4 linked regions of the Lonchura striata genome follow. The protein of the gene in region 2 purifies or fractionates together with the protein of the main gene of each other region. This does not show direct contact. Links are inferred from orthologs where the notes say so. Each region holds a gene or a part of one and is shown on either strand. Other genes may lie near its edges. The genes, in order: CEP63, FXR1, ORC2 and TDRD3.

The links.
Region 1: the proteins of FXR1 (region 2) and CEP63 purify together in Homo sapiens (co-immunoprecipitation; 3 studies listed by BioGRID and IntAct, with this or other methods). This does not show direct contact. The link is inferred for Lonchura striata from reciprocal best matches to the Homo sapiens genes FXR1 and CEP63.
Region 3: the proteins of FXR1 (region 2) and ORC2 purify together in Homo sapiens (affinity purification with mass spectrometry; 4 studies listed by BioGRID and IntAct, with this or other methods). This does not show direct contact. The link is inferred for Lonchura striata from reciprocal best matches to the Homo sapiens genes FXR1 and ORC2.
Region 4: the proteins of FXR1 (region 2) and TDRD3 purify together in Homo sapiens (affinity purification with mass spectrometry; 3 studies listed by BioGRID and IntAct, with this or other methods). This does not show direct contact. The link is inferred for Lonchura striata from reciprocal best matches to the Homo sapiens genes FXR1 and TDRD3.

The regions. Positions count from the first base shown.
Region 1 is NC_134612.1:6,433,716-6,441,298, reverse strand, and holds the start of CEP63 (centrosomal protein of 63 kDa), read left to right. Parts: upstream 1-4,572; 5' UTR 4,573-4,604; intron 4,605-4,842; exon of another isoform or gene 4,843-5,209; intron 5,210-7,127; 5' UTR 7,128-7,218; coding exon 7,219-7,262; intron 7,263-7,583. Other genes in the region: ANAPC13 (anaphase-promoting complex subunit 13), read right to left, coding at 991-1,116, 3,292-3,390. UniProt on the Homo sapiens protein: Required for normal spindle assembly.
Region 2 is NC_134612.1:19,947,578-19,954,571, reverse strand, and holds the start of FXR1 (RNA-binding protein FXR1), read left to right. Parts: upstream 1-3,980; 5' UTR 3,981-4,060; coding exon 4,061-4,111; intron 4,112-6,994. UniProt on the Homo sapiens protein: mRNA-binding protein that acts as a regulator of mRNAs translation and/or stability, and which is required for various processes, such as neurogenesis, muscle development and spermatogenesis.
Region 3 is NC_134610.1:27,162,036-27,169,526, reverse strand, and holds the start of ORC2 (origin recognition complex subunit 2), read right to left. Parts: upstream 3,018-7,491; 5' UTR 2,975-3,017; coding exon 2,878-2,974; intron 1,964-2,877; coding exon 1,820-1,963; intron 1,538-1,819; coding exon 1,451-1,537; intron 548-1,450; coding exon 458-547; intron 1-457. UniProt on the Homo sapiens protein: Component of the origin recognition complex (ORC) that binds origins of replication. DNA-binding is ATP-dependent. The specific DNA sequences that define origins of replication have not been identified yet.
Region 4 is NC_134604.1:55,890,686-55,898,231, forward strand, and holds the start of TDRD3 (tudor domain-containing protein 3), read right to left. Parts: upstream 3,010-7,546; 5' UTR 2,919-3,009; coding exon 2,878-2,918; intron 1-2,877. UniProt on the Homo sapiens protein: Scaffolding protein that specifically recognizes and binds dimethylarginine-containing proteins. Plays a role in the regulation of translation of target mRNAs by binding Arg/Gly-rich motifs (GAR) in dimethylarginine-containing proteins.

The sequences.
Region 1 (7,583 bases), about 14 Mb from region 2:
CTCACCTCTACCAGTAATCCTAAACTCTGTCAAAATATTTTTCCTTAGCAAGAAGTTCTGCCAATGGTGACATGGAATTGGTCCAACAGTGGAACATGAAGAACAGAAGGCTTTTACCTGTTGCAAAAGACATCTGAGAATCAGAGATAAAATAAGGTCCTTGAGGGCCTTGCCTTTCATCTCAATACAAAAAGAGGTAACAATTTGTTGCCTGAAGCTAAGCCCTACTGATTTCTTTTCCCCATCACGTTTTTTTGATTTTCATTTCCCATCTGAGGTTGCTCATGTGAGTGGCTCGCACATCAAGAGGCCCTACACTAGGACGGGCAGGTTCTTCCTTGGAACTCTCAACCATCCCTTGGAAGACCCTGATTTTGAGTAACCACCATTTCAGCATAAATTAGACTGTCTGTTCACTGTACACACTGGCAGACATTCCCAGGATGTCAGCATTGGAAATGCTGTCCACCACCACCATCAGATCCTGAGAGCAGGAATTTGAGTGCTTACAGGTTACTTCCCACTCTTGATTCTGCTGACCAACCTTTCACATCTGCCCCACACATCCACAAATTTGTTAAAGATGGCAACAACTCACAGCTATTTGGGTTTTGTACACTGAACTCTAGACAATAATCCCACTGAGAACTTCGAAATCAATTGCAATTTGAGACAGTAAAAACTTTTTAATCGTGTAGAAAACATTTAAGATCAGAATTGGCACCAACTTAAGAACAATTTAACAGAAAACATGAAATAATCTTATAAGCATGAAACATTTTGCACTTGGCTCTGAGATGTCAGAGCCTCTGCTATTTCACATTCAAGAAAGAAGCATTTTAAAGAAGCATTGTGAGCAGAACCACTGTTGGAATCTGAAAATCTGGAATGCTGTTTCCTCCTTAGGGCAGCTTATGACAGCAATGGTCAGCCAAAAAAATATTTTTATGTTGCATTCATGCATCCACTGTTAGAAATCCCACTGATTCACTAATTTCCTGTGGGTGGAACGTTTTCATGGAGATACTGGAGAGCCAAATCTGTCCACTTCATTTCTTGCTCTTTCACAGACTCAGTGGTGCCACCGTTGTCTTGCTCTGGTTCAGGGAGCTCATTCTGAGAACAAAACACAGGTAGAATGCATTCCACATGTAATACACTTTCTGCAAGCAGCAGGTTGTTATGATTAGTATGGATAGATACAAAACCCACAAACGAGACCAGAGGGTGCATCTGAACAATAAATATCATACATACTGATCCACTTAAAAATATTGCTGAGCCGCATCATGAACAGTATTCTTTTCATTTGAATATGGTTATTCTTTTAATTTGAATATTCATTTGAATGTGTTTAATCTGAAAGGTAAATTGTTTTCCAGGACCCTGGGGCCTTGCTATACACTCAGACTGCACACACAGTGAGGGAGAATATACAGCAAATGCAAAGTAAGTAAATAACAGTACAATGCATTTATTCCACTGTTTGTTTGCAATGTGCTGTTTCTGCTGTTGCCAAGAATACAAATACTGCAGACAAATGGTTCTGTAAAATGTTACTTTCTTATGGCAGGTTAGAAGTCCTTCCTGTCTGTATGCTGGAGTCAGGTGTAGCTGTGCTGGATCAACAGCAGAAGCCAGAACCCCCTGCCAGGTGTGCCCCAGAGCTGCTCACAGCACAGTAAAGGGAAGGAAAGTTTAACAGATTTCATTTTACTTCCTTCTATTATTTGTTCTCTGTCTTGCTGTATTGGTGTAGTCACACTGAGTGTGTGCTATTCTGCCAGATACCATTTGGGCAGGAATTCTGAGTTCTAGAATTTAGAGTTCTAGAATTTCCTCTGGAAATCCCAGCTGGAGCTAGATAAAGTGTTTCAGCTTTGAAAACAATGAATGATTTGAACACATCTGAGTTCCCAGAAATGGCTTGATTAAGCACTGGAGCAGATTCTCAGGACAGGCTCAAATACCACTTTCACAGCCATTCTGGTGCTCCTTTGCAATGTCCCTGAGTAAGTCCCCTGTGAATTCATGCTGTTTTCTCTATGTGATCAGAGCCAATCCCATCTCTGGGGATCTTTATATCCACAGCCAGGCCTTTCTATTGGTAGTTGGTGAGGCTTCCTTCTCTGAGGCTGTCATTGTATGTGACTGTAAGCCATCACGAGATGGCTCTAAGGGAAGAAACAATAATGTTTGGACTCAGGGTAAAGGCAATTGTCAACAAGGAACCTGTTTATGATACTCGGCTTGCCTAATAAAGGCAAAGGAGGGTTTGTGCTCTTTTAGCTGAGAATCACGCTTCTGCAAGATGCTTCCCTCAAGCCCAACTCTTGGCAGGAAAATGTGTGCTGTACATATGGACTTTGAGTTGTGCAGCTGCTCCTCGCCCTCTCTGAAAAGCCAGTGGTGGCAGGGCTGACGCTTGAACCATGCCACAAATTTGGAGATGTCTCTCTGCTGAAAGAAACCCCACAATCCCCACGGCTGCTTTATGTGAGCTAGCTGGGGTAAAGCTCGTGTACCAGAGAGAAAAAGGGAAAATCCTCAGCTACCTCTAACTTCCCTGTAAGTTTCAAAATAGCCAAGGAAAGGTGTCAGTGTGGGAGATCTGAAGCTTTAGCTCTGGGCTCTGTGGGATCAGCAGTAGCTTTTCCCCTGCTGCCCCTCTCTGACTTTGCAGCTGTACCCTGGATGAAAAGAGAGGTGCCATGCCTTGGACACATCACCACAGGCAAGAGTCCTGCTGCACCTGCCAGTCCTTCACTGCTGTCCCGGAACTTCCAACAGCAACACTGAATCTGGAAAAGACTGCTTTGAAACACTTACGAAAATGTCTCAGCTTCTTTTAATGGCATTGCAGGAAGCAGATATAAAGTGTAACCAAGACTGGAACTGTATGTGAGACTGATCCTCTGCTCTCCCAACAACCAGGAAAGTACCTCAAACACCAGGAACAAGAAAGGGAAGCAGAGAAAAAGGATGATTCTACTTCTCCCTGATGCCAAACCTAGGAGAGTGCAATGGGAAAGGAACTCCAGTTCTGAGAGGATTCAGCAACTGGTCAGGGGACAAGCAACAGAAGCATCCATGTCCTCATGCACTCAGGAATGACTGGCATATAGGGCACAGAAGGAGTCCCTTCCGTGAGAGACTGGATCTTCCGTGGAGATCCAGGAGCCTCTTGTACAAATTAGCCGCACCACGAGGAACATTCTGTGCCTTTTCTTGGAAGGGACTGTGATGAACGCAGCAGCCTTAACTCAGATTGATAAGTAGCAATTCACCTACCAGAGGGATGGCCACATCCTCGTAGGGCAATTTATCTTCCCTCCACGCATCATCGATCAGATCCAGGATCCTGCCATCCCTCTGCACCTCGCTGTCCATCGTCACAGCGGCGAGAGCAGCTAAATCTGTGACACAAAGCAGATGCTGTTTTAGCAACATCCCCAGCCAAGGAGCTGGAGTCTGGACTATTGGCTTGCTCCAGTTTTGATGAAATCCATATGAAATTTAAACTTACAAGGATACCTTGATTTCCCTAATCCACACAAAAAAGGGTTATAACCACATAGAACAACTTCATCTGAAAAGAACTCTATCAAAGTGAATTGCAGACTGATATGCACTGGAAATTAATATATAAAACCAGATGGTTATTACTGATATTTACATGTATTTTATATCTACTGACTGACTTTTAGAAGTCTAATTTGAGTGAGTTTGAGCACCTAGAGCTGCTCAGAAGCCTTTGCTGGCTGCTGGCTTACAGCTCCTGAGCAGTGACGTGCCTCACCTGTCTGGGAGAGTCACAACAAAGGACTTCAGGGTACCCAGAATTCTGCCCGAACCTGAAGTGCAGGAAACCGGTGAAAGAGAAGCAAAACGAGACCCATCTTTCACCCGCATCTCCTATAATTACTCCAGACTGTTTAACTGTACTCTGCCCTCCTTGAAGGATCACCTCAGGCCCTCGCCCCGGTGTGATGCTGCGGGGCGGCAGCAGCAGGCAGCCCGACCCTGGCGGGTGTGAGAGAACGGGCACTCGTTCAAAACCGAGCCAGGCCTGGCACTCGCCGGCTGCCGGAGCCGCGATGTGGGCGGCGATGGGCACGGGGCTGAGCGCACCCCAGCCCCGGCGCGCTGCGCTCCCTGCCTCTCCCGGCCAGCACGGCTCCGTGTTCCGCGGTGTCCCAGGGCTGTGTCCCAGGGCTGTGTCCCAGGGTTGGGTTGTGTCCCCGCGGTGTCCCAGGGCTGTGTCCCAGGGTTGTGTCCCAGGGTTGGGTTGTGTCCCCGCGGTGTCCCAGGGCTGTGTCCCAGGGTTGGGTTGTGTCCCAGGGCTGTGTCCCAGGGTTGGGTTGTGTCCCAGGGCTGTGTCCCAGGGTTGTGTCCCAGGGTTGGGTTGTGTCCCCGCGGTGTCCCAGGGCTGTGTCCCAGGGTTGGGTTGTGTCCCAGGGCTGTATCCCAGGGTTGTGCCCCCCTGTCCCCGCGCTCCCCAGCCCGCCCTACCCTGCCCATCTCCGCGGCCGCTGTTGCGCAGGCGCGGCCCCAGCGCATGCGCAGCGCTGCCGGGGCGGGGCCGGGCCGTGCCCGCTGCCAGGGTGGGAAAGGCGGGAAGGAGGGAGGGAGGAAGAAGGAACGGAAGAAGGAAGGGAGGAGGGCGGCTCGGCCAGCCAGCGCCGGGGTGTCGGGCAGCCCGCAGCGGAGCTCCCCGGGGCGCGGCGCCGGAGGGGCTCGGGCAGCGGAGCTGTGCCGCGGCGGGCGCGGGGCAGGCGCTGTGAGGGCTCGGCTGCGGCTGGGAGCAGCGGCGGGAGCGGGGAGTGCCGGCCGGGCCCGCTGGCCCCGGCCGCTGCACGGACCTAAGCGGCACCAGGGCCGGACATTAGGAGCAATTCCTTCACAGAACGGGTGATTAGATACTGGAAAGGGCTGCCCAGGGCGGCGGCGGCGGCGTCCCCATCCCTGGAGGTGTTTAAGGAAAAGACTGCACGCGGCACTCGGTGCTCTGGGCTGGGTGACAGAGTGGGGATCGGTCACAAGATTGGACTTGATGGTCTCAGAGGACTTTTCCGAGCTCAGTGACTCTGAGATTCTCGCCCTGGCGAGGGCTGGTTCACTTCGGGCTCCTGCCGCAGGTGCCGTTCCTGCCGCTGGCAAGCGGAGCTCGCCCGTGGTATTGCTTTTGGGAGCTCCTTTTGTGTTCATTGTAAGCATGCTTCCAGCAACGCTTTAAGATTGCATCTTTCTGTGTTTCTAAGTGCGAAGTAATCCCAGTCTTGTCGCATGGGCACTATTCTTAAGTCCTCCTGTGTATTGTAAAGTTCTCTCCACTTCACTCTGCTACAGTTCTGCCTTGAGCTGGAATGCTAAACCTTTTTTATTTTTAAATGTGTTGTCTTGTTTTGGACTTTTTTTTTTTTTTTTTCAAATACTTCACATTTCTTCACTTTCAGAGGTGATCAGCCAGCTTTCCTTCCTTCAACTGTAGTTAATGAAGGAGATTGTTTCCTCTTCTGGGTCTTTACTCAGGTTCCTGTAACTTGCACGTTGCAACTTGCAAGCATGAGAGGCCAAAATGTAATACTAAGTCAGCAAACTGTACGTAGCATAGAACTGGCTAGAGGTGTCTGATTTTAAGGCTTTTCCCCAAAATCTGGCTATGCCAACTGTGGCTGTGCCTCCCATGGGAGCGTCCAAGGCCAGGTTGGACAGGGCTTGGAGCAACCTGGGATAGTGAAAGGTGCCCCTGCCCATGGCAGCAGTTTAGCATGAGATGGCTTTAAGATCCCTTCCAACCCAAACTGTTCTGGAATTCTATGCTGTCTGTCTCCTCATCTCTCTGCCCACTGAAAATTGATTCTGTGTAGGTGTGATTAGAATGAAAGAGGAGAGCTGCTACTGTCTAATGTCTGCTGTGGCCACCTGGAGAGCTCTTGGAATGCTGTCAGCAGCTCAGGGGATCTGCTCATCTGCTCTCCTCAGCACCCTGCCCTCAGCAGAACCACAAAGTTGTTCTGCATACTGATTGAGTTTTGTTACAGCACCAAAGACAGATGAAACAGTGTCAGAATAGGAATAGGATTTTTCTCTGTGCATTTTTTATATGGCTGTGGTTTAAAACACTGCTCCCAAGGACAGGTTTTAATCTCTGAGTTGTGTTTTTAAGTGCTGTAGGAGCACGATAGAAGATTCTTTGGGAAAGAGAATGAAGCTGAGCCTGCATTTGTCAAAGTCTCCCTTGCTGTGACCTGTTCCCCTTTTGCTGATTGCTTAATAATGTTATATTAATCTTTGAGGAAAGATGGTGGAAGAATTAATCTTCAGTACTTGGAAAATGTGTAGATTTTGGAAACAGAAATTTGTGTTAATAGCTCTGGACAAGTTAACCATTTTTATGTTAGCTGCAGTTTCATGAAGGAGATATTGAAATAAATTCTGGCTTCCTGGCTCTGGTTGCGTGGAAAATTTTTATTCCCCATTTTTGGCTTTAATGTAAACTCTTCTCACTTTCACCACAATATGAAATTTCTTTGGGTATGCATGTGTTTGTTACTTAAAAGGTGAATTTTTAACTGAAGCAATGTACTGCTACTATAAAGCTGTTCAACTTATTTTCATAATTTAAGAGGAAATTTTAAGGAATTTATGTTTTCTTAAAATTCCCACAACTGTATGAAGAGCCAGTGTGTTCTGAATGCTGTGGTAAACTACATGGTCTCTTTAAGCTAGTCTATAATAGAGGCCTGGAAAATATGTAATTTATGGATGAATTCTTACTGCTACTTGCTGGTGTTTTCTCTCTGAAGTGACAAACTTTGAAATCCAAATGTTCCTGTTTCTCCACATGCTGGTGCTCCCAGTAGATCTACCAGTCCTTCTGTTGAGTTCACACAAGTGCAGAGTCTAATTGCTGCTCTCTGAATTTATTAGATCACATGATTATATCACTTCAATTTGGTAGTGTTGGATGATAGCATTGGGTATATTTTTCTGATAGAAAAATCTGTTTTCCTCTGTTTGGCTTGTAAGTTCATGAAGGTGCCATTGTTTTCCTCACCTGTAATTCCATATTCTTTGTATGCTTTTTGACTTCTGTGCTTTTTGGGCTTCCACTTTTCCTGCAGTTGGATGGAGAAGCAGCCTGGTTTGTGCATTACCATGGGTGACCACTGCTTTCCTGTACTTCCCTAGTACTGAAGCCACCAGGATTCAGTGATGGAGGCTTTGCTGGAAGGAATGCAAAGAAATGGGCAGGGGAGGTATGTATGCAACTGTACACAGCAGTCATTCCAAATGATTTAAGTGTTAACCTTGCCTCTTATTCAGAATAAATCCTCTGGTGTAAGTGTGCAGTGGCCCTCAGCTGCTGCAGAAGCGAAGTCACTGGGGGAGCTGGCTCTGTGCTAAACCCTGCTTATAGTCTTAATTGTCAGAAATTTAGTTGTACATCTTCCTGAAACCTCAGCCTCTTTTTCTCAGTTGTTGTTGTAAACTATTCTTACTGTCCAACATCAGGAGCAGTAGTAAATAGAGTTGTGAATAAATATTTATTTTGTAACAGCCTCGCAAGGTTAATGAGA
Region 2 (6,994 bases):
ACAAAGAAAAGATACATAAAAATAAGCGAACTTGGGAGCAGGTAAGAAAATAACTCCTCCAAGAGTTTTGCTGAGTTGGAATGTGGTTTTGTCATTTGGTAAGACATAAGGCCAATATGATCTTATATCTTTCAGATATCTACCTGTGTTGTTTGTCTCCACTAAGAAGTAATGATGCATAATAATTTACAGAGCATGCTTCCTGTTTCTGCTAAGGTTGGAAGTCTGTGGATGGATGCCTCTCATAGTCATCAGCCTTCTGCCAAAATTTCAGAATGAGCAATGGAACCAAAAAGGTTTTTACCCACTTAAAGGTGAAGCTAGATTAATTTTTTATCATTATTTTGATTTTTATGGCATGAGTTGCTAAGTGTCAGCACTTCACTGAATGGAACGTAAGACACAGGTTGTTACATTGTAAGTGAGAGCACAAGTCTGAATTTAATTGACCTTAGGTTTTGCCTATATTTTTAAACAAAATATCCTAAGATAGGATAGTTCTGGTTTTTTATTTTACTGGAAGGTAAGAAATGTGCTCAGAAAAACAGAGAAATGCCCCTTTTTCTGTATCACAAAAGGCACTCAAGTTATTTGGCATCAAAATAACTGATAGTTTAAAACTACAACATTTTTTTCAAACAAATTTTCAGATTACTAGTAGCATAAGAGGAATATCAATGTGTGCATTTTTTCACAACTAATCTTACTTTAAGAGACCACTATTCTAAACAGTTATGTTGTTGATTTCAGTGTTGATTTCACTCTTGCCCAAGTCTTTGAAAATAGCTAAATTTTTTCCACTTTTGGCTGAGGTAAACATTAACAGAGTCTTATGTCAGAAGGTCCCTGAGTGACAATTCCATTGTGACCTTCAGTTACACAGATGATTCCATGAATTCTTGTATGAACTACAGCATATGCAATATTGATCCAAAGATTGATAATGATAGGAACCTAAAAAGGTTTTCTTAACTGGATAATAGCAGATTTTGGACAAAAAGTCACTATTTCAAAATATGAAAACTCTGCTATGATACTGTTTCACCATGAATTACATTTTCAATGGTTTATGGATTTTTCCTGTAGCCTCTCTAGTCTGTCCACATACTTCCTGAATTTTAGAAAATGGCATTTGGAAGGATAGGAGTGTGGGTTGATTGTTTATTTGTTGAAATCAATGCCTGCAAAATTTTCTCTCTTGAAAATTTGGTTTATATTGCTCATGCTATAGCAACATCATAAATGCTTTTTCCATCCTAAATAAAGTAGGCAGGAGTTACTAACTTCCATTAATTCATTCTGAAAGGCTGTTCCTGAAATTTCTTCAACATCCCACTGTAAACTTCTTTCCAGACTAAGTCGATTAATGGTCAGTCTATACCTTCTGGGAATTCCTTTTGCTAGTAATGTTTCTGTCTTTTACAGCCTCAGTCTCTCATGGATCATTATCCCTCTGTGTGCCTTGATGTATTTGAAGACAACATCAGAATCCTTCAGTGCTTAATCTCCACCCTTCATTTTGCTCACTCAAATAAGGGAATCCTTTTTCTGCTCTTTCCAACCAAGGGTCCCCAGGACCAGGATCCTGCAACTTCTGACTTAGTGTCCTTCTGGCATGATGCAGTTTGCTTTGCCTCCTGAGCTGTGGAGTTTTCAGAGAAGACAGAGAATGGTTCAACCAGTTACCCAAAATATCTCCTGGACCACATCAGCTCTAGGAAATGAAAGTGGCAGTTTCACTGTGGCTGTTGCAAAATGAAACAAAAAAATGAAACGAAAACGAAAGCTTACAAATTCTCATGAAAAAAAAAAAAAAGCCGCTATTATCAGAGGAATTCTTGAGTTCTTGAATCTGGATCCTCCCTTTTCTTATTTCAGCAATGTTTAAAGCAATTTAATTTAGTAGTCACTCATAATTTACATTCAGTGAAAACTAAACTTAGAACAGATTCATCATCTACCTTCTGGCTGATGTGCTGCAAATTATTATGGCCCACAACCTACTAAAGCCTTTTGCTATCCCCATTTAACCCAGGCACAGCAGTCTGCCTCAAAATTAACATGTAAACAACCCTGTCCCTTTAACCACTATCATCCTCACACTTCCAGAAAAACACACTTTATCAGGCAAATTCAGATGCAGATTGCATTAGCTCAAGCCAGTCTTCATTATCACTAAAGCCCAGAACTGTCCCCCAGTTCTGCAAATGTGGACTCCCAGACACCTCACACAGTTCTGGAGTAATTTGGGTTTTTTTACCATTTTACCACGTCTTTTTTTTTTTTTTTTTTTTTTTTTTCCTAAGGAGAGCAGCTCATGCTTAGTTTATTTTTGGTTTGTTTTTTTTATTAACTCCATACACCATTTTTTAGTAGTTGACGTTGAGACTCTGTGTCTTGGTAGCCAAAAAAATAAACCTCAGTCTATTCAATCTTGGGGCAATGAAAACCTTTGACATAGAATTTTATAGCACAATGCTTTGCTTCATATTATCTGGTTCCTTTATCCTGGAAAATCCTGAGTTGCCTCTGCTGCCAGGAAAGGAGGTACTTTTCAGAAGGACTCTCTTGCCCATGTGTGGCCTTGGCACCATGCACAGAATAAATCGTGGGTAATTTATAAATATTAGAACAAAATTTAGAATAAAAGGTATTCTCCAAAATTTATGTGGAATATTACTCAAGATTAGGAATATTCATGCACACAGCATGGGAAAAAACATTCATGCTGTTGGACCCATATCTTTCCTTCAGTTATGGCACATCAGGATCACAGAACCATAGAAACACTGAGGTTGGAAAAGACCTCCAAGAGTATCAGGTCCAGCCATCAACCCAGCACTGCCTTGCTCAGCACCAAACCATGTCCCCAGGTGCCACCACCCCACATTCTTTGACCATTTTGAGCATTTGCACCTCACCCAATAGCCACATTTCTCAACACTTTTTGGCCTTTTTTGTCCAAAATCCTTGCCCATCCGACAGACATGGTTACAACTGGCACAAAAGCAAGATTAACATGAAGAAACTAAAAATGAAAACATCTGATAGGTAAAATATCATCATGGACTCCTGGCCATTTGAGTCTGATGCCCAATGGGAAAGATGAGCAGAATGAGCATTTGAAAGCATTGCTATTGAAATGACTTTAGGCTGAGATTCAGATTAGATACCAGAAAAAAATGTCACGGTTGGGATAGTCAGGCATTGGAGTGGTGGTCCAAGGAGGTGGTCACCATCCCTGGAGGTGTTTAAGAGGTACTCGTATGTGGCGCTGAGTGATGTGGTTTAGGGGTTACAGTGGTAGTGCTGAGTTAATGGTTGAATTTCATCTTAAAGGCCTCTTCCAACCCAAATGAATCCATGGTTCTATATTTAAAGCAATTGCAAAAACACACGGATTTGACATAGGTACAGGCCGTTCATCAGGCTCTGCGTGACTAAGCTTATGCGAGCATCTAGCGCACAGCACAATTCGCTCCCCAGTGTGTTGTGAGGTCCGACACATCACAGGCAGCTTTTATTTTTGATTATTTCTGCCGGCAGCAGCGCACGGGGAAGGCGGGCAGGGCAGCCCGGGGGGGTGTGAGCAGGGCGGGGCAGGGCGGCGGCGCTCCGTGAGGGACAAAGCCGAGCCGGGCGCTGATGTCGGGCGGCACCGTGTGTGTTATCCGCCCCGGCAGCCCAAGGTGCCCGTCGGGCGCGGCCTTTCGAGCGGCGCTCACTGCGCAGCGCGGCCGCCCCGCATTGTCTCCGCACGCAGCGCCCGCCGCCCCCTCACGCGGCCGCGCCCGCGCCGCCCCTCAGCCCCGCGCCGGCGGGCGGGAAGATAACGGCGGGGAGCCCTTCCCGGGAGCCCTTCCCGGGAGCTTTCCCGCAGGGAGCGCCCGCTCGGCCGGCGCGGGGAGCCGTCCCCCCCGCTCCGGCGGTGCCGGGCCGGCCGGGGGAGCGGGCGGGGCCGGAGGCGCGGCCCGGCGGGCGGGCGGAGGGGGCGGGCGCCGCGCTCCCCCCGCGGTGACAGTTTCTAGAAGCTCGTCCCGGCGTCCTTTGCGGCCCCAACATGGAGGAGCTGACGGTGGAAGTGCGCGGCTCCAACGGGGCCTTCTACAAGGTACCGGCGGCGGGGGTGGCGCGGGCGGCTCCGCGCCCGGCGGGGCCGGGGCCGAAGGGCCGCGGGGGAGGGGGCGGTGAGCGGGGAAGGTGCGGGGGGAGCGGGGCCGGGGCCGCGGGGATGGAGCGGGGCGGCGGCGGGGGGGCGGCGGTGACGAGGCTGGTGCGGGCAGGGGAGGTTCGCGTGTGGGGAAGGCAGAGCGCTGGCGGGGCCGGGGGAGCGGATGCGCGGCGCGGGGATTCCCTGCGCCTTCCTTTCGGGAAGGGTGGGTGGGCGTGTGGGGGGATTGGTGTTGGAAGATGAAAGGGATTTTGGGTGGGCTGGGGTGAACCGGGGCGATAATAATGATTTTAAAAGAGTTAAAATAATTTTTTTTAAGGATTTCGAGTTTATTTATGCCTTCAGAAATCTTCCTTCACCATCACCCTCCCTGGAATGTCAGGATGGTACAGGATCAATGCAGAGTACTCTCAGCTGTTGTCTGTCAGTCATTTTCCCCTAAGCCTGGCTTCAGATGTTTAAGAATCCCAGCTCTTTTTATGGCACTAGGCTCCTGTCTTCCTCTCCAGGAGGGCTGATTCCAGCCAGTATTGTGAGCACGCAGCGTGGCTGTGTTCTGGGAGGATTTAATCTGGGGACTCTCTTTAGCTATTGTGCCTAACCACACGCACAGTGTGGCATTGCACAGGCAATACTGCACTTGGTGTGGGGCTGGCCCTTTCGATTCCCCTTCCCCCCTTCAGAATTTCCTGTGTGCAGCTGTGGATTTGGCTTGGGAATCATATGGTGACTGTACAGTATGTAGAGGCAGTTGGGTGTAAGGGATTGTAACCAGCTGACTTCAGGAGTTAGTTCTTTCAGCTGGTCAAGACAGATGGGAGATACCCTTATGAGGAAAGAATGCAGTGGCATAGACTACACCCCTAGTAGGGAACCCTCTGAATTTTTTACCAAAAGGAGTAGGTGATAAATTTTATACAGTGGATCATTTTTTTGTTGAACCTGAAGTATCACACAGAAACCTACATCAGAATCATTTGTGTCCAGAACAGGATGCTCCTCAATAGAATTGATTCCCCTCCCCCCCCCCCCCCCCCCCCCCCCCGAGCATTAAAAAGCCCAGAATTTGGAAACACTTTTCTTAGCTTTCCATTTTATACCTTGTGATCTTGGACAGCTTTCCAAATGATGAATCAGTTGCTCTTCTGCTTTAAAGGAATGTCAGACACATGGGAGTATGAGGTGTGATGAAATTTTGGACTGACGGGATCTGTGTGCACAGAATTTGCTACAATAAGCCTGATTTAAAATCTGCAAGGATGACATCTCTTAAATCAGAATGAATTATCAGCCTTGGATTAGCACCATCATGTGTTTTAGCCCTGTGAAGAGTGACTTAAAAAAGCAGAAGTTTTAATTAAAAATGGCATCATGACTTTGAGATCAGTGAAGTGGGAATGAAGTCCATTGATGAAGATAGTGGATGAAGGCAGATTAGAATGATTGGATGCACAGTGATCAAAATCCCAACTCAGAGTAATCCACTGTTAATGTGGAGGGGGGAAAACAACAACCCTCATAAAGACCCAGACCTGAACCAAAACATTCAAACAAACACAATTTAAAAAATTCTTATTGTGAGCTAAATGCAGTGAGGTGTGTATGTCAGTGACTCCATTTTGTGAATCTTACTCTTGAGGAAGGCAAGGTTTTGCATTTCTTTTGGGACTAGGTAACACTCCTAGGTCACTTGCTGTTTAAAGTGACCTAAAGCAAAGAGGTGTGTCAGTCTGTTTTAGGAAGTGTCCTATTTTGGGCACCAGTAGCTCTGATCATTGCAAGACAATGACAAGAGACTCATCTTTTCTAATCTGTGTGACATTCCAAGGAACGTGGCAAAAGTTTTCAGAAGAGAAAAAGCAGAATTTGTGAGATGGGATGAGATTTGAGGTTTGCCTTTAGAACAGCTTGAATTTGGATTAATTAGCACAGCATAACCCCAGGTAAATGAGATCAGAAAGATCCTGCTGTGTCAACAGAGAGAAAAAAAACCAAAATAATTATGTAAACAATATCATGACAGATTTTCTTTTAAGGAGTTGTTACTATGGTCTGCAGCTTAGCTGCAGTAGAACAAATGTAGTGGTTAAATCTGTTGGAGCATTCTGGTGGGTTTTCAGGACTTACTAGAAGTATGACTATGGTAAATGGTACTCTTTTATTATAAAGTTTCTTTAGTTCCACTAATAATTGCTCTTCAGTTTTAACAGGGGATTCTTCCTAAGTGCAGGAAGACCATACACTATAGTTGCAATACATTAGTACGGAAAATTAATATTCTTTATTAAAATTCATTCATCATAAAAAACATTTTGAGTTCTCATGTATTGGTGGGCAGTTATGGTAAATCCCAAGGTAATTAAAAAAAATTATAAGTGCATAGTATGATCTGATTTTAAACTTATGTATCTAAGTCACCAAACTAATTTGTGGTTTCTTGTTTTTTCCATTTGCTTTAAAGAAGCAAATCTGGAGAACAGGACATCATTTACTGTATATTTTATGCCAGGTTCTCAACCATTACACAGCAGAGCCAGTGTTTAGCCACTTCCTGCAGCTTGGAATATCATAATTTTGAGCACTCATTGTCTTTGGAGATCAGATGGCACTGATGGGGCTTGAAATGGTTGTGGGCTTCTGAAAAATGGGGGGGGGGGGGGGGGTGCTTGTGCTGTGGAACAGGAGAGAACAGACAGGGTTGCTGAAGTCTACTGATTATGGGTTTGCATATATTAAATGTGCTATGAGGGCTTCCTGAGGGTAGAAAAGTTAATGCTTTCTAGGTGAGAACTAGATGGCAGGAAAGTTTTTGTCTTGGAGACA
Region 3 (7,491 bases), on a different chromosome or scaffold from region 2:
GCCAGTGCTGACCTGCATTGACTTCTCCTACCTGTATTTCTCCCTGCAGCACTAGGTGTTAAATATTATACAATAAAGTATGAATTTACACATGAACACCCACACAGTCCTACCCAATCAGTGTTTAACACACCAGCCCAGCTCATAACTCTCTCAAGTGCAAGTATTTCTATTGAATAGAGAGGAAGTCATTAAATGTCACAGCAACAGATGAGAGAGATGTTCATGTTTCCCCTATAGCAGCAAGGCAGAAGAAGACATCTGACACGCAGGTGAAGCACAGGTCATGCACATCAAACTGTTCAGCCCATGGTGTTAACCTGAATACTTAAGCCCTGGCTTTAACTAGAATACTTAAGCATGAGAGAAGCTGGAACTCAAGCATCCACTCCACCATGCAAAGAGAAACATAACCCCCACTCACTCAGCTTCATTCCCAAACCATCACAGGACTTACTGCTGTTTTGAGGGGTTTTGGCCATCTTCTCAGGGCACTTGGAGTGATCAGGTGACACATTCTGTTCTGGTGTCCGGGCTAATTCAGAGGCTGTAGGAAATAGGGGGAAGGGAAGGAAGGACATGTCAGGTACAAAACTTCCAGCTCTGGCTAGTCAGAAATGGAGCCACACCCTGAAATGCTCTCTCCATATTAATTCCCTGGCTATTTAAGGAACCAAATACTTTTAGATTTTTCTAACCCTAAAGGTGGCTGTATTCCTCCGAAAAGATTTTCAAAGGCTGAACTCACCAATTAATTAAGTTTACAAATATGGCTGATGGCAGAGCACATTTTGCTCCCTGGGAGACCACATGTCCTTGAATTAGAGCAAGGTTTGGTCAAGCTCACTTAGTTCTTTTGGACTGCTCAGCTGCATATAACAGATCTTCAGATGCAGTAAACACATCAGCTCCCTAGGAGGAACTATTTACCTGTGTCTACTCCTTATCAGTACAAGCTGAAGTTGAATGATTGATGTGAATCTGAAACACCCTGCTAATGGCCCCTACCACTGTATGACCAACAGCCTATTCCATGTAACAGCACTGGGACTAACAGGCTGTCATAGTATGACTTCCCTCAGTTTTCAAATTGATTCATAGCTCCAGCAGGGAGCACCAGTGAAATCCACCCTGCTGCAGAAGGAGGTCTAAGATAGGAGACACAACTTCCCAAGACACAGCAGTAACTAAGAGGCACCAAAACCAGTTTCTGAATAGTGATTCAGTAGGACGATCCCTCTCCTTCAGATCATCCTTTGTAGAATGTATCATTAGCTGTGACAAATAAACACTAATGAAGTTCAGATGGTGCTGGACGTACAAGGACTCTTCATGTAAGTGACAACCCTGCTCAAGCACCTTATTTGAACCAAAACAGTCCACCTTCTCTGTAACTGCCTCTTTCTGCTTGCTTCTCCTAAGTCTGCAGAGAAAGAAGAGCGAAACATACCCAGCTCTGCCATTTTATTGGAGCGTTTGGGAGTCTGGAATGAGTAAACTTCACCACCACTTATATTTGAGCCATTTCCCACTGGATCTGTGAAAAGACATGTTACTCGCAGCTATTTTAAAACCACTGATAACATTCCCAACCCAAGAAAGATGGAATTAAACATTTCACTATTTGGCTTTATATTGCAGGTGATACAAAACAAGTATAATAATAAAATACTAGAATCATAATATTCTCTTCTACCTGTTACCACAAGCACACACAGAGCAGGTTGAGCCCTCAAAAGCAATTTCACCAACACTGTATAACCCTAACTGTAGGAATCTCCTAAAGTCAGAGCTGTGTTAGGTCTTCTCCTGCTAATACCTTGGGCACATATTCCAAGAGCAGCAACATAGTTCTTCTCTTCCAAGATCTCCTGAGCTTCATTATCAGAAATATTCTCAAGCTTCTTCACAAATCTCTTCACACTGACACTCAGCTGAGCCTTCTCCTTCCGCACTTTAGTTCCTAGAATTGCAAAAAAAAAAAGCTTTAACCTCCTGCCATTTCATTATTTCTATCGCAGCAGTACACAGCCACCTGACTTAAGAGACCAGGTTCCTGTTATGAAAATCACCCAACAAATTCAATGCTGAGATGCCCTGATAAAATAACAGCTGGTCAATAGCTGACCCTATAGCCTTCACCACAAATGCAGTCCATGAAGGTAAGACACCCATTTTCACAAACACTAGCTCTACAGAGAGGAATAGGAGAAATGACAGTGGCTCACGAATTACAGTATCAAATTGCATGCAAAGGGGATGGTACTTGTTAACCCTTATTTCTTTCTAGAGAAGAGGAGCAACTGGAAAATACTTTGCCTGTAGGCTGCCAGGGCACTCATGGGAGAATGTAGGCTGAGAGCCCCCTGGACATCTGCATGACCTTCTCCTCAAAGCAGGACCAGCAGTGGAGTCTGAAAGAGATGCTCCGTGCCTTGTACTGGCAAATTTTAAGCATCTCCACAGAAGTTCCCCACCTTAATAGTCAGAACTGCTGCAAAACCCTGCTATGGCATACACATGCAGCCTCACTCCGCTTTGACTGCGAGTGTTTAACCGCGTCAGGCCCGAGGAGCTTCCCGGCTCCCTGTGCCGCTGGCCCGGTACACGCTGCTGCGGGGAGATCTCGTACCGAGCGCTCGTACACGCCCCGCCTGCAGCGCGCCCCAGTGCCGGGCTGGGACAGACTCTGAGGGCGGGAGTCAAGCGAGGCAGAACGACTCCAGAGGCCTCGTCCTTCCGCGAGGCTCTGCAGAACTCGGCTCGGGTGTTGCAGAGCCCCTTTCCCGAGGGCAGCCGCGGCTGCTCGGATCCCTCCCCCAGCGCCCTAGGAGCAGCGGCGGCGCTGGGCTGGGCTATGCCCCGGGCCGGCTGTACCTGCGTCGTCGGAGATGTGCTTGAGGACGTCCTCGTCGGGCACGAACTTCACCTGCAGGGAGTGGCGGCTGCTGCGCATCCCCTCGGGCCGGCTCATGGCGGCTCCCGTCACGTGGGCGCGGCCCCGCCGCCGGGGGGCGCTGCCGCCGGGGGGGTGCGGACCGGCCGCGGACCGGCCCCGCTTACCCCTCACCCCTCACGGTGCCGCTCCTGCGGGACCGCCGTCCCGCCCGCGACCCGTGCCCCCGGCAGAGGCGGCAGCAGCAGGAGGCGGAACCGGGCTCCCGTGCCAGCCAGTGGCCGTCCCCGAGGCGGCCAACCCGGGCGCCGCGCCTTGAGTGACCTGTGGCGACGGCGAACCCGCGCCCCGCTCCCAGCCCGCCTCGGCCGCAGGGCGGGACTTCCGCCGCCGGGCACGCGCGCGCCCCGGGCTCGTGCTCGGGTCGCTGTGGCGACGCGAAGCCGCCGCCAGCCCGTTCCGAGCAGCGGCGGGTGCCCCCTCGCGGCCGCCCGGGGAGAACTCCCCTCCCGGCCGCGGCCCGCCCCGCCTCACCGGCCCGAGTCACACCTCTAAAAACCAGTAATTCACAAAGTATTCATTTCTGTTCAGAAACAGCACGATATTTATTTAACATCTTTATATATTTATATATATATATAATTTTTTCTGCATTGCAGATTGTGTCGAGTTTTATACATCTCTATTTACAATGATTTAAAATAATTATATTTCTTCTCTGGCAGATATTTACAAAGTCAATAGTAACTACATTTCACATTTCAACAAGTCAACAGCATGAACCAGCTCAGTAAGACAGTTAAGATAATGGCTTACATGCACCAAGAAGATGATCTTCAATACGTGCCTTCTTCAGGACTAAGAATGAAGACTTTCCCTGGTCCCCAGGTTAAAGGACATCATACAGCAGAGGTCATGGTTATTAAAAACCTGTTTGATTTAGTCCTTCACCAGTACCGAATCTCGAACGTCTGGGGCTCATACCAGCAAGCAAGGCTATGCTGGTCAAGAGGGGCTCACACCACCCATCCATGTCCTTTTGCCCAGCCTGTGTGTCCACAAGAAGTGGGCTACGTGCTGCTTATGCTCCTTCCATGAGATTAAATAATGCTAAAGTAGTAAAAATCCTCAGAAACCTTAGTTCAGAGAAACAAACCTGGTATGATGAAAAAAGTAAGAAAATAATCCTTTAACCCTTGCAGAATGTTTCTTTTTGCTAGTAAAACTGAGAGCAAGTCCTGTATTCTTACAAGGACAAAAACAGATCAAAAAACTCATTGTCAAGTACAGGAATTACAAATTTTAAAAATGCAGCATGGGGTATATATCCATTTAGTTGTTGGGGTCGTCTAATAGCAAATAAAAACTACCATAGTAAATCTATAATGTATTAAGAGTAGCTGATTATTAAAAATCTTTATTAGCTTTTTCCTGGAATCTTCAATATGAAAAAAGTGTTAAATTACTCTGTTTTATTTAATCATATGGTATTTGTCCATAAATAACCAGCCTAGTAATACCCACCCCTAAAGTATGTACTATGTGCAAGAAAACAGAAGTAATCATTGAACACTGACACACACACACACCACACACCCCAGAGTACTAGGAATCTATTAATATTTTGACATGTTGATTTATCCTGAGTGATTGTTAACTCACATCTACTGTATACTTGAAGCCACAAAGTTTTTACTACTTGCATTTTTCATAAACTAATAACATGAAATTCTAGCACAACCACAGTAACTGTCTGAACAGAAAGAACAGTGTCAATAGCCAGTATTTCTGTTACTCCCAAGTACTAGTTCTAGAACTAAAGGTAAATGGTTGCTCTACTTTTTTCTGTTTCATGATCAGTTCTGGGGAGGATGAGGACTCAAACACATAGGATTAACTACTGATTTGTAAGGAAGTTTCCATGACAAAGCACCATAGAGACATTTTACCAGCAGATACTTCTAAACAGAAATCTCCCCCGACCATTTTACCCTCTAAAATCAAAACCTGTGAGAATTCTAAACCACATTTTAAAGCAATTTAAATTTTGACTCCTGAATAGATTATTAATCACTCATTTAAAAGTTGCATCAGAATGCAAAGACAGTCTTCTTTAAAACCGCTTGGATCTTACAGACTGTAAAACACTGGGAGCTCACAACCAAGAGGCTGCTCAATAAAACTTGATCTCATCACTCTGCTCATCATGCACAAGCTAAAATATAGGCAATGTTTTACTGTACAGATACAAAGCTTTACTATACATCTGTCCCATCAACAGCTCCTCACCAGAAAACCTTAGGAATCCCTTTATAATAGAAGGGATAATTTATGGACCCATTTTTAATTCAGTTGGTCCCTCAGATACTACCTTTGGTAAAATCTGATGAACACAATTAAAATTCAAGGAGAGGTATAGCCTAGAAAAAAATAAGGAAAAGGATGGAAGCAAAATTGTATTTTTTTCATTAAATCTCAAATACAGATGGATTAAAATGGGACAGATTTTTACTAAATCCTTTTCTGAAGCTGTAAGGTACCCTTAAGACTTGCACAGCTTTCTTCTGAATTTTTAATATCGCAGGCCTTGACACTTGACAAACTTACTAGGCAAGTTTATCTAAAATGGTTGGCTGCTGTTTTACAATCTTGTTCCAAGATTTATTATAAATAAAATTTCATAATTACTATGTGGAGAACCTCATAAGTATCAGTCTTGCAAAATCTGCTTATTGTTTTCATGAACAAACCAAGTTGCTCACAGCTCACCATCATCTTCCACCACTGTGGAAGAGGCAGGTAAGTATTTTGTCTCTTCAGCTGGTCATGACAGAAATTTTGACAGACTGATACATGTATTCACTAACACAACACCCATGTCATGATTTACTACCCTGAATCAGCTACAGAAAACCTTTCAACATCAAAGTTTATCCAATTGCCAGTGAGGAAAAAACAAAAATAATGAACAGAGATTAAGGCCCATAGGCTAGAAACAAATAGCATTTAAAATACTGAAGTTAATACAAAATATAAAAAAATCATATAAATCAATAATGTGATGCAAGTACAGAGGATCTGGCTTGTTTGCTTAGCATGCTTGATAAGAAGTGATATTTTGCAGCTTTAGTCCTGCAATTATCCTAAACAAGAAACTGAAATAAAAGAGGTACATGTACTCTTCTGATGAAAAGTAGTCCTATGATACAAATGCTTGTTACAAATGACACCTAGCTGATGGCTTTAATGTTATATTAAACATGCCAAGGTAGCAATATCTTTGGCAGTGAAAGAATTTAAGAATGAGATTATTAGATCTACTAACATCAAAGTAATTTTTTTGTGTGCAGTACATACATTTCATTCAAACATATTCCATTATAGTTTCCCCCCCTCCTCTAGGATTACAAGCACAGTACCTATACTATACAGCTTGGTTTTTATGATTTTATTCAAAAAGTTATTATTGATTCTTAGTCTTCAAATTAATTTGAATTTGTAAGCCAAGATAAACAAAAATGTCTGGTTTGCAATCAAAGTTAAAATTCTGAACAAAGAGGAGATAGCCATTGGTTCATGATAAAATAGGACACGTTCAAACTCTTAGGTTAAAATACAGCCATAGCATAGAATTATCTATTCCAAAATTAATTTTTCAAAATATAATTCTCTGAACATGTTATACATTAAATATTGAGGAAAATTTCCCTGGAGCTACAATTTTCTAAGAAGACTAATAAACTTCATTAAAGAAGTAAAACAAACCACATAGTATCTTGAAGACAAAAAGCAGAGTTGGGGTCACCTTACTGCAGAGTAGCTTTACCACCACTAAGATGTAGGTTTCCCCCTTAATCTTGAAAAATACGTTCCTATTTACATACAGTATACACACAGTTGAGGCAATTGATTGTCAACACGTGACAAATGTATGTACCTACTCACACACAAGTAAACCTCACATGGTGAGAAAAAACCCTGTCCCAGTAAACTCCAGTATTCATAAGTAGTGCAAATAAATACTTTATCAGAAAACATTTTTTTCCTCACTATTTTGATGACTTTAATTATGTTAAAGCTAGCAGGAGTATGTTGGAAATGCATTCTAGACCAACACACTTGCAAACTACAAATACTAGATCTAATGCTTACTGGCTGCAACATGATGTTCAGCATTACAGAATGAAGTATGCTGTTAAAAAACTTTCGAATTCACATCAGAAAGGGTGTTCAAAGAAATCCGCATTTAAAATGGACAGTGATACACAAGTATCCATTTTATGACATTTTTCCAAACAAAAACTAAAAGGATAATACAGAAATTTAAACAATCATCTTGCAACATTAATTTCAATAGGTATTTTTACTTCATCACTTTGCTCTCTACCAGATGAAAATATGGTTCACCTTTAAAAAACCATTCAACCAAAAAGCTGCTCACAATAAATCCCTGAAAAGGATGATCAAGCTAGAGTTCACAATCCCAACATTTGTATTTTCTTAAAATTACAAAGTCCAAAAAAATGAGTTGCAAAATGGCAGCATATTGTGATGTGCATGAAGGAAATGTCATTTTTCCCTACTGAAGTATATGT
Region 4 (7,546 bases), on a different chromosome or scaffold from region 2:
ACTACAGGAGCCTTTTACTCATTTTCATAAAATACCACCATCATCATAAAAAGAAAAAAATGTCTCCCAGCTTTACCTACCACTGTTATGTTTACTAGGTAGGGCTCCTTTACCTTTCAGAAGCTGACAAAAAATGTAATTGATATACTGAAGGCAAACATTACAAATTCAGAGACAATTTTATAACAGATTACTCTGACAATACCTGCTTGGGGGAGGGGAATAGATCTATAATTACTGTTCAGTATTAACTACACTTTATTACTGTTCTACTTGAAAAATAACTTTATTTTTCATTCAGAATTATAAAAGGTAAACACTAGTTGCAGAAACTGAAATAAACAAGTGTCTACCTTAACTCTCTAATTCTGTAATGTATAAGAAACTTACTGTAAAATCCACAGTACAGGTAGATTTTTACAAGCTAGCAGATTTTAAGCTAAGCAAAGATTTTTTACTTGACATGCCATGCAGTGCTTTTGCAGTTTAAGTGGGGATAGATTTTAACACATAAACTCAGTTTTTCTTTTGTACTAGAAATATTATCATTCTGACAGCAGGTGACAGCAGCAGTAACCACCAATTTGGTACAAAACTTTACTTAATCACCAACACTAAACCGACATTAAACATCACTGAAGGCTCACTCACAGATGTGTAAATAACTCTAAGATCTAATAATATGAGAAAAATCATAAGAGCAACAGCAAAGCAGTTAGAAGCATGGGTGCTCAGGTTACTACTCTTTTTTTAAGTGCATGAACACAGCTAAGCAAGATTTCCAAATCATTATTTATTTTTCCACTCCACTTCACATTCCTCAAAAGTATATGTATTAATTCCTCCCCTTTTATACTACCTTTCCCAATACAACCTGGTCAAGGCATAATTCCAGTGGACCTGATAATGAGCCCATTACTTGCCCCTTCAACTTCAGCCTCTGGCTCCCACCCTACAGGACTGCAAGAGTAACAACTGTTGACAGCCATTCAAAAGTCTCTGCCACCAAGGAGGGCAGCAAACACTGCAAAGGGACAGATTGTTTCAGAGGCACCTCATATTTGTACTGCCAAAAACTTGAAAGCCATTAAGCAATGGCATGCATTCAGCTGAAAAGGCAGCAAAACAACTCAAGAGCTGAAAACTGGGAAAAAATTTTGAATAGGCAATAGAAAGCAAGAAAAGAAAACTAAGAAAATAAAACTACTTTTATGTAAAACTTTTCCAATTTTGGAGAGGTCTACATAACAGAAGAGTAGAGGGGCAAGTTTCAAGTCACAGTCCAAAATTCCCGTCAAATAAGCAAATGTTATAAAAAGTAGCAGAACTAGTTTTGATTGTATCAATTTGGCAATAGCCAGGAGTCATAGGACTGTGCTCTCCAGAACCATTTAGAACAATGTTTTGGCTCTTGATACACTTATTCAAGAGGCATAGCAAAGGACACCTAATTACTCTGTTTGGTTACTATTACCACAAAGTAGCAAAAGCTGGCCCAACAAACACAGCATCACCAGGGGGTTAAAGGAGGTGATTCCCACTTATTCAGCACTGGTGGGGCCTTACCTGGACTACTGTGCAAAAAACTGGAAAGCTACATGAAGGTCCTTAAATGTGGAGGAGGGCAACAAAGCTGGTGGCATGTCCTGTGAGGAGCAGCTGAAGACTTTGGCTTGTCTCGATAGGAGAACAGGAGGCTGAGGGGCAAACCGCTTTCTACAGCCTCCTGAGTGGGGGAAGCAAAGACAGATTCTGCCTGGATCTAGTGACCAGATGAATGGGGATGGTTCAGAGCTGTGCCAGAGAGCGTTCAAATTGGATATAAGGAAGCATTTCTTTATACTGAGGGCATAATCAAACACTGGAAGAGGTTTCCTAGGGTGGCAGTCAAATGTTTAAGAGGAATTTGGCCAGTGTCCTTAATAACATACCAAGATTTGGTCAGCCCTGAATTCATCAAGTGACTTGACTAGATGATCATCATAGGTCCCTTCTAAGTAAATTGTCTTGTTCTATTCTAAATCACAGGATACCCACTTTAACTTTTTCCATCTTAGACCGTACATGAAACCACAATCTAGGACAACCACTAATGTAAACAGTAAACCAGAAATATCTCAAACATGCCGTTGGAAATAACTTTGCGTACATTGCTTTGTGCTTTAGCAGGCAGCACTAAACTTTAGGTTTGTCGAAAGACTTTCCAAGTAGTTATGGGAAAAAGTCAGTATTGACTAATAAGTGAATCACTTCAACAAAATAATCAAACAAACAAACAAAAAAGCCCCAAATCAAAATAAAAACTTCCTACAATGCAATCTCAGCTGTAGGCTAGCAAATAAGCGTTTACAGTAGGTATTTGAAAAGCACAACTCGTTGAAACACGTTGTTCCAAAATGGATATTGTGTGCCCAGCGACTGGGACTCTTAAGAAAACATAAGCAACCGAGTTCAAGCCTCACGTGTGGTTCATTTACCCCACCTTAACTCCACTTTTGCTTCTTGCCTGCCTTACAGAAGGGGCGCACGGTGCAGTTTACAGCCCCAGCAGTACGGGCAGGCGCCAGGCCTGCGGGCGAGGCCAGTCCCGGGGCAGGCGGGGAGGCCGCCGCCGATCCCGAGGAACCTCGGGGGTGGCCGCGGGGTAGGGGTGCCGGTCCTCGCGGCAGGGCCGGCGGGACGGGCCGGGAGCTGCTCTCCAGGGCGAGCCAGCGCCAGGCCCGAGCGCAGCGGGCGGCGCAGCCCCTGCCCGGCGCCGAGGGGCTCCCAGCGGAGCTGGGGCGGGACATCCCCCGCACCGCACGGCTCGGACACGGGCGCTGCCCGCCCCGCACCCCGGGCGGAGGCGGCGGCGCGGCCGAGCTCGGCCCCACTTACCAGCCCGACTCGGAGAGCGCCGCCCGCGCCCGCTCGGCCATGGCGCCTCCCCCGCCGCACTCGGGGCCGCGGGCGCTGCGGAGACCCCCGGCACTCGCTCGCAGGGGAGGAGGGACGCGGGGCCCGCTCGTTCCCTCGCCCCGCGGGCCTCTCCGGGCGCTCGGGCCGGCCAGGGGAGGGAGGGAGGGAAGGGGAGAGGGAGGGAGCGGAGGGAAGGAAGGGGCGGGGGCGGCGCAGGCAGAGACGAACAAAGCCCGCGACCGGCGGCTGCTTGGAAGCCGCTGCCGCCATGGCGGGGAAGGGAAGCAGTGAGGGCAGCGCGGCCGGGGAGCGCCGGCCCCGCTCCGGCGGCTGGCTCCTGCCGCCGTGCAGTGTCGGAAGGGCTTGCTTAAACGCGTTCCGGCTATGGATAGCATTATTGACAGTAGCGTTGTTCTGGAAAAGGCTCTCCTTCGGGCCCTCAAACGCGTGCTGCGGGCGAGGAGGGATTTTTAGAAGGGTCTGGAGCACACGTCAGATGAGGAGCAGCTGCGGGAGCTGGGAATGTTTGGCCTGGAGAGGAGGAGGCTCGGGAACACCTTCTCGCTCTTGACAGCTTCGTGAAAGGAGCTCGTAGCCAGGTGGGGGTCGGCCTCTTCTACCAAGTGACAAATGGTAGGATGAATGCAAATGGCCAGGAAATGGCCTCAAGTTGTGCCACAGGAGGTTTAGATGTCTAAACCTCCTATTTTTCCTAAAAGAAAGCTTTTTAGGAAAAACTTATTCACAGAAAGAGTGAAGCATTGGAAAGGCTGCCCAGGGAAGTGGTGGGATTCCTGTCCGTGCAAGTATTCAGAAAAGCTGTAATGTGGCGCTTAGGGGCATGGTTTAGTGGTAGACTTGGCAGTGCTCCTTAATGGTTGGGCTCATTGTTAATGGTCTTTCGCAACATTAATAATTCTTTTTGAAAGACTGGTTCTATGTTTCTTTTATTTTTGGCAATTTGTTGTTTGCGTTGTTTTCTTTAATGATTTGCCCTAAAATGCTGGGCACCGATATGAATATTTTGGGAGGGTTTTATGTGTATTTTTAAAGGGAATTATACTTTAACAGAATAGCACTCTTTCATCATTGCTGTTACAAGTGCCCAGTGCCCTCCGGTGCCAGTGATATGTGAGGTGGGAACACCGTCGCCCTGTTTACTCTGTGTTCCAGCATCCAGAGAAAGAGCCAGAAGGTGAACATGGGCAGGTCAGGAGTTAAGAAAATGCTTATCAAGGCCTGGGTGCTCAGGGTTTCTGCCTGCAGGTGAGGTCAGCTGCTCTGCAGAAAACACTGACCATTTGCATTAGTGCATCATGTCCAGCTACTTCTGTAACCCATCAATGCCAAATGGTTTTTTTTCAGCACTGAGGTTTTGAAACTTGTCTATCTGCTGTGTTTGTCTATTAAAGGTGGTCTTTTCTTTATGGGTTATTTTCACCCTCAAGATGTTTCAATTTTTATGCAGCATCTTCAAGCCAAAGCTTAATTTGCTTTTGTTGAGGGTTTTTTTGAGTCTTCTTTGGTTTCATTGTTTGATCTACCTGAAAACCTCTCTTTGCCATACTGAGTACAAATCACTCAGGATTTTTGCACACAACACTCTGTGCTGCTCATTCATGGTATTTTCTTTTGTGTCTATAGGTTATGTACTCTAGGACAAAAATTTTGTCATAAGTAGGTATGGTGTGGCCTGTGTAGATGCTAATTTTAAGAAAACACGTATATCTATAAGTTGATAATTGATAATAAATCTTGACACAGATGAAGGAAATAAAACCTATATTATTCAACTGAACAATGCATAATGCTATATATATTCTTGAAGCTTTCTTGGTCATGAGCATTAACATAAACCTAAAATAAAATTTAAAAAAAAAGGCAGCTTAAAAATGGAAGACTAACATGGGATTTCTGCCAACAAAATCTCAAAATAATGAATGTAGCCATAGGAAAGTGTTAATCCTTGTGGTCATTAAATAACCACAAAAAAATAGCAGAGGGAGCATTATTATTTGGGAAAGTGGATTATCAGAGGTTGTGCAGTCCTATGTCATGACAAGGCTCCAGGTGAGCATACGCTCATAAGCTGCAAAAGGAATAGAACTAGAAGAGAACTAGCCCACCCAAGAGCCCCGAAACAGACCTACTGTATGTCTGTACAAAAGAAACTCTTGAATTAGTGACGAGGAATACCCTAAAGCAGAAGAGTCACACTGAAATGTCAGTGGCCAAGTCACACCCATGTTGCAGCAGTAACAGCCACTGACATGGAAAAGCACTAGCAGATAAGTGTGGTTTCAGTTCAGAACTTATGATGCAAAAGAAATGGGAATAAAAAGAACTTGCATTTGGAGTCTGACCTGTCTGCACATTAGATTATCAAGATAAGGTTGTAAATATTGTAACTCAAAATGGGATGCCCATAGAGCCAATTAGTAAGGGATGGAGTATGACCTAGGAGAAGATAATGAGAATTACAGACCTTTTGCATTGCCTAGTGTTAGTTTAAGACATGGAAGGTTTTGCTTACTTAAATCTTCATTAAAGTCACCAGGCAATTATACCAGCAGTTTATGCTGGCATAGGGCTAGCTGTTGCACCTCATGGCACTAAACACCATCTATTATAAAGAAAATGTATATGCTTCTTAAAGGTCTGCAGGCATCTGCTCTAACAAATTAATTATATGCAAGCTGAGATGTGTTTGTGTATGTATTCACATGTGCCTCCTTTTGTACAGGAGAAGTCCCCATTAGTGGATGTTTCTCTGCTCACAGAGGGCACTGCCTGAGCTTTGTAGTTTGTAGCTGCTGCTGGCTGTGCTGAACCGAGGTGAGCAATTAGTTCCACTGTAAAACAAAAGGTGATGCAGTGCCTGCCAGACAGTCAGAAACCTGCAGCTAAGACCCTCAGTACCAGCTGTTTGTGATAAAACGTTCTTAGAGTATATTCTCTGTATCGATCACCTTTAGAATAAGCGACGTTGCTGAAGGTAATGAGCACCAAAGTACCTGGGGCTGTACAGGGACCAGTCTAAACTTCTGCACTCCTGTAAGGGGCTCTATGCCTTCAGAGCTTTCTCTGGAAAATGCTTGTTGCTCCAGATGAATCAGTGCATCACTGTCCACAAAATTCACATGGACTTCTTCTGTCCAAACTGCCTAAAATGCAGTTCTGTTTGACTGCTGCCCATGTGCCCTAGGACAGCTTAATCTGTGCCAAAGAGGTTATTTCACAATGTTCTGTAATTTTAAATACCTGAAAGGGTTGGTCTACTCAAGCACCTCTGGTGAGACAGTTCTAACAGAACTAGCACTCAGCACAAGACAGCAAGAGCCAGGTTTTGAAGCAGCCCTGTAGGCTCCTTGATTCATTGAATTGATTCATCCTTACTCCCTTCATCTCCTGCCAGTTCCAGGCTCAATTCTCTTGGTTAACAGTAGGCTCACAAAACTGGGGAGCTGAAACTTTTGACCGCACTTTCCAGAAATGAGCAAGAGCAGAAACCTGTAACACTCATCATGAGTTATGGCATCTTTCATCCCTACCTGATGTGCTGAAAGCACCAACATTGGGATGAAGACCCTGAATACCAGGTATAATAGGAGGTCCCCACAGCAGCAGCAAGTCTGTTTTGGTCTCAATTTCTGTCTTCCATAAAATATGCTTTCTTCATTGCGTTATCTGAAGGGAACAGGTCTGCTTACTGAACATAAAAGCAGATTATCCTTATCCTGGATCTGGAGCTGAAAGTTACTGGGCACTGAATGGAAAGGGCCTTTCTTTCTGGTCACTATTTCTAGGAGTGTGCTGGAGTTTGAACAAAAGTGGTGGCCTCTCCATGGTCTGTGATGGACTGGGTCCTAAACTGATTTGACTGCAGTCAGAAGGATTAGCTTTTCTACCTGTATTGTTGCATGTCAGCTAAAATATTGTGTATGATTTATGTGAAGGACAGTACTCAGCACACAGTCTTTCTTATATGGCAGCTAGAGAAGAGATTAACTTTTCACAGACTAATAAGAAGAAGGGAGATTTACAGAACTAAAGATTTTCTTCATGGGGGAGAGGAAGGAGAGAGGCTTGGAAAGAAGCAGGATGGAGGAAAGACAAACAGCAAGTACGTATCCTACATGGAAATGGTAAAGGATTATGAAGTCTTGGGCATAATACCATCACCTATAGCCACAGACTGTTGTTAAGGTGGTGTTGCAAGGAGAGAGAATTTTCACTAAAGGCCAAGACTAACATTTTTGTCAGGCTGCTCTAATTGATTTGTCACCTGACTGTCCTCTTCTGGAACCCTTCAGTTTGACCACACTCCCCACTTTGTCCTGAAAATCACTAAGTGTATGTCAAGCACCTTAAAGATATAGTTCACACTGGCATTATGCCAGTCAAAAAGACAGCGTCACACTCGGCGAGGCACTCTGGCTGTCAGGATGGGGCATTTATATATGGCACGATGATGCTGTTGTTGGCTCTGTGCATGGCTGCCTATCAAAATCTCAGCAGTTCAGACCTGAAAGTGCAGATGAACCACTGCAATGATCACTAGGGTATGATGAATCACTAAGTAGTGCAGAATGTAATTCCATATAATTATGATGCTTTCAGGGCCCCTTGTGGGCCAGCAGAAGGGCTG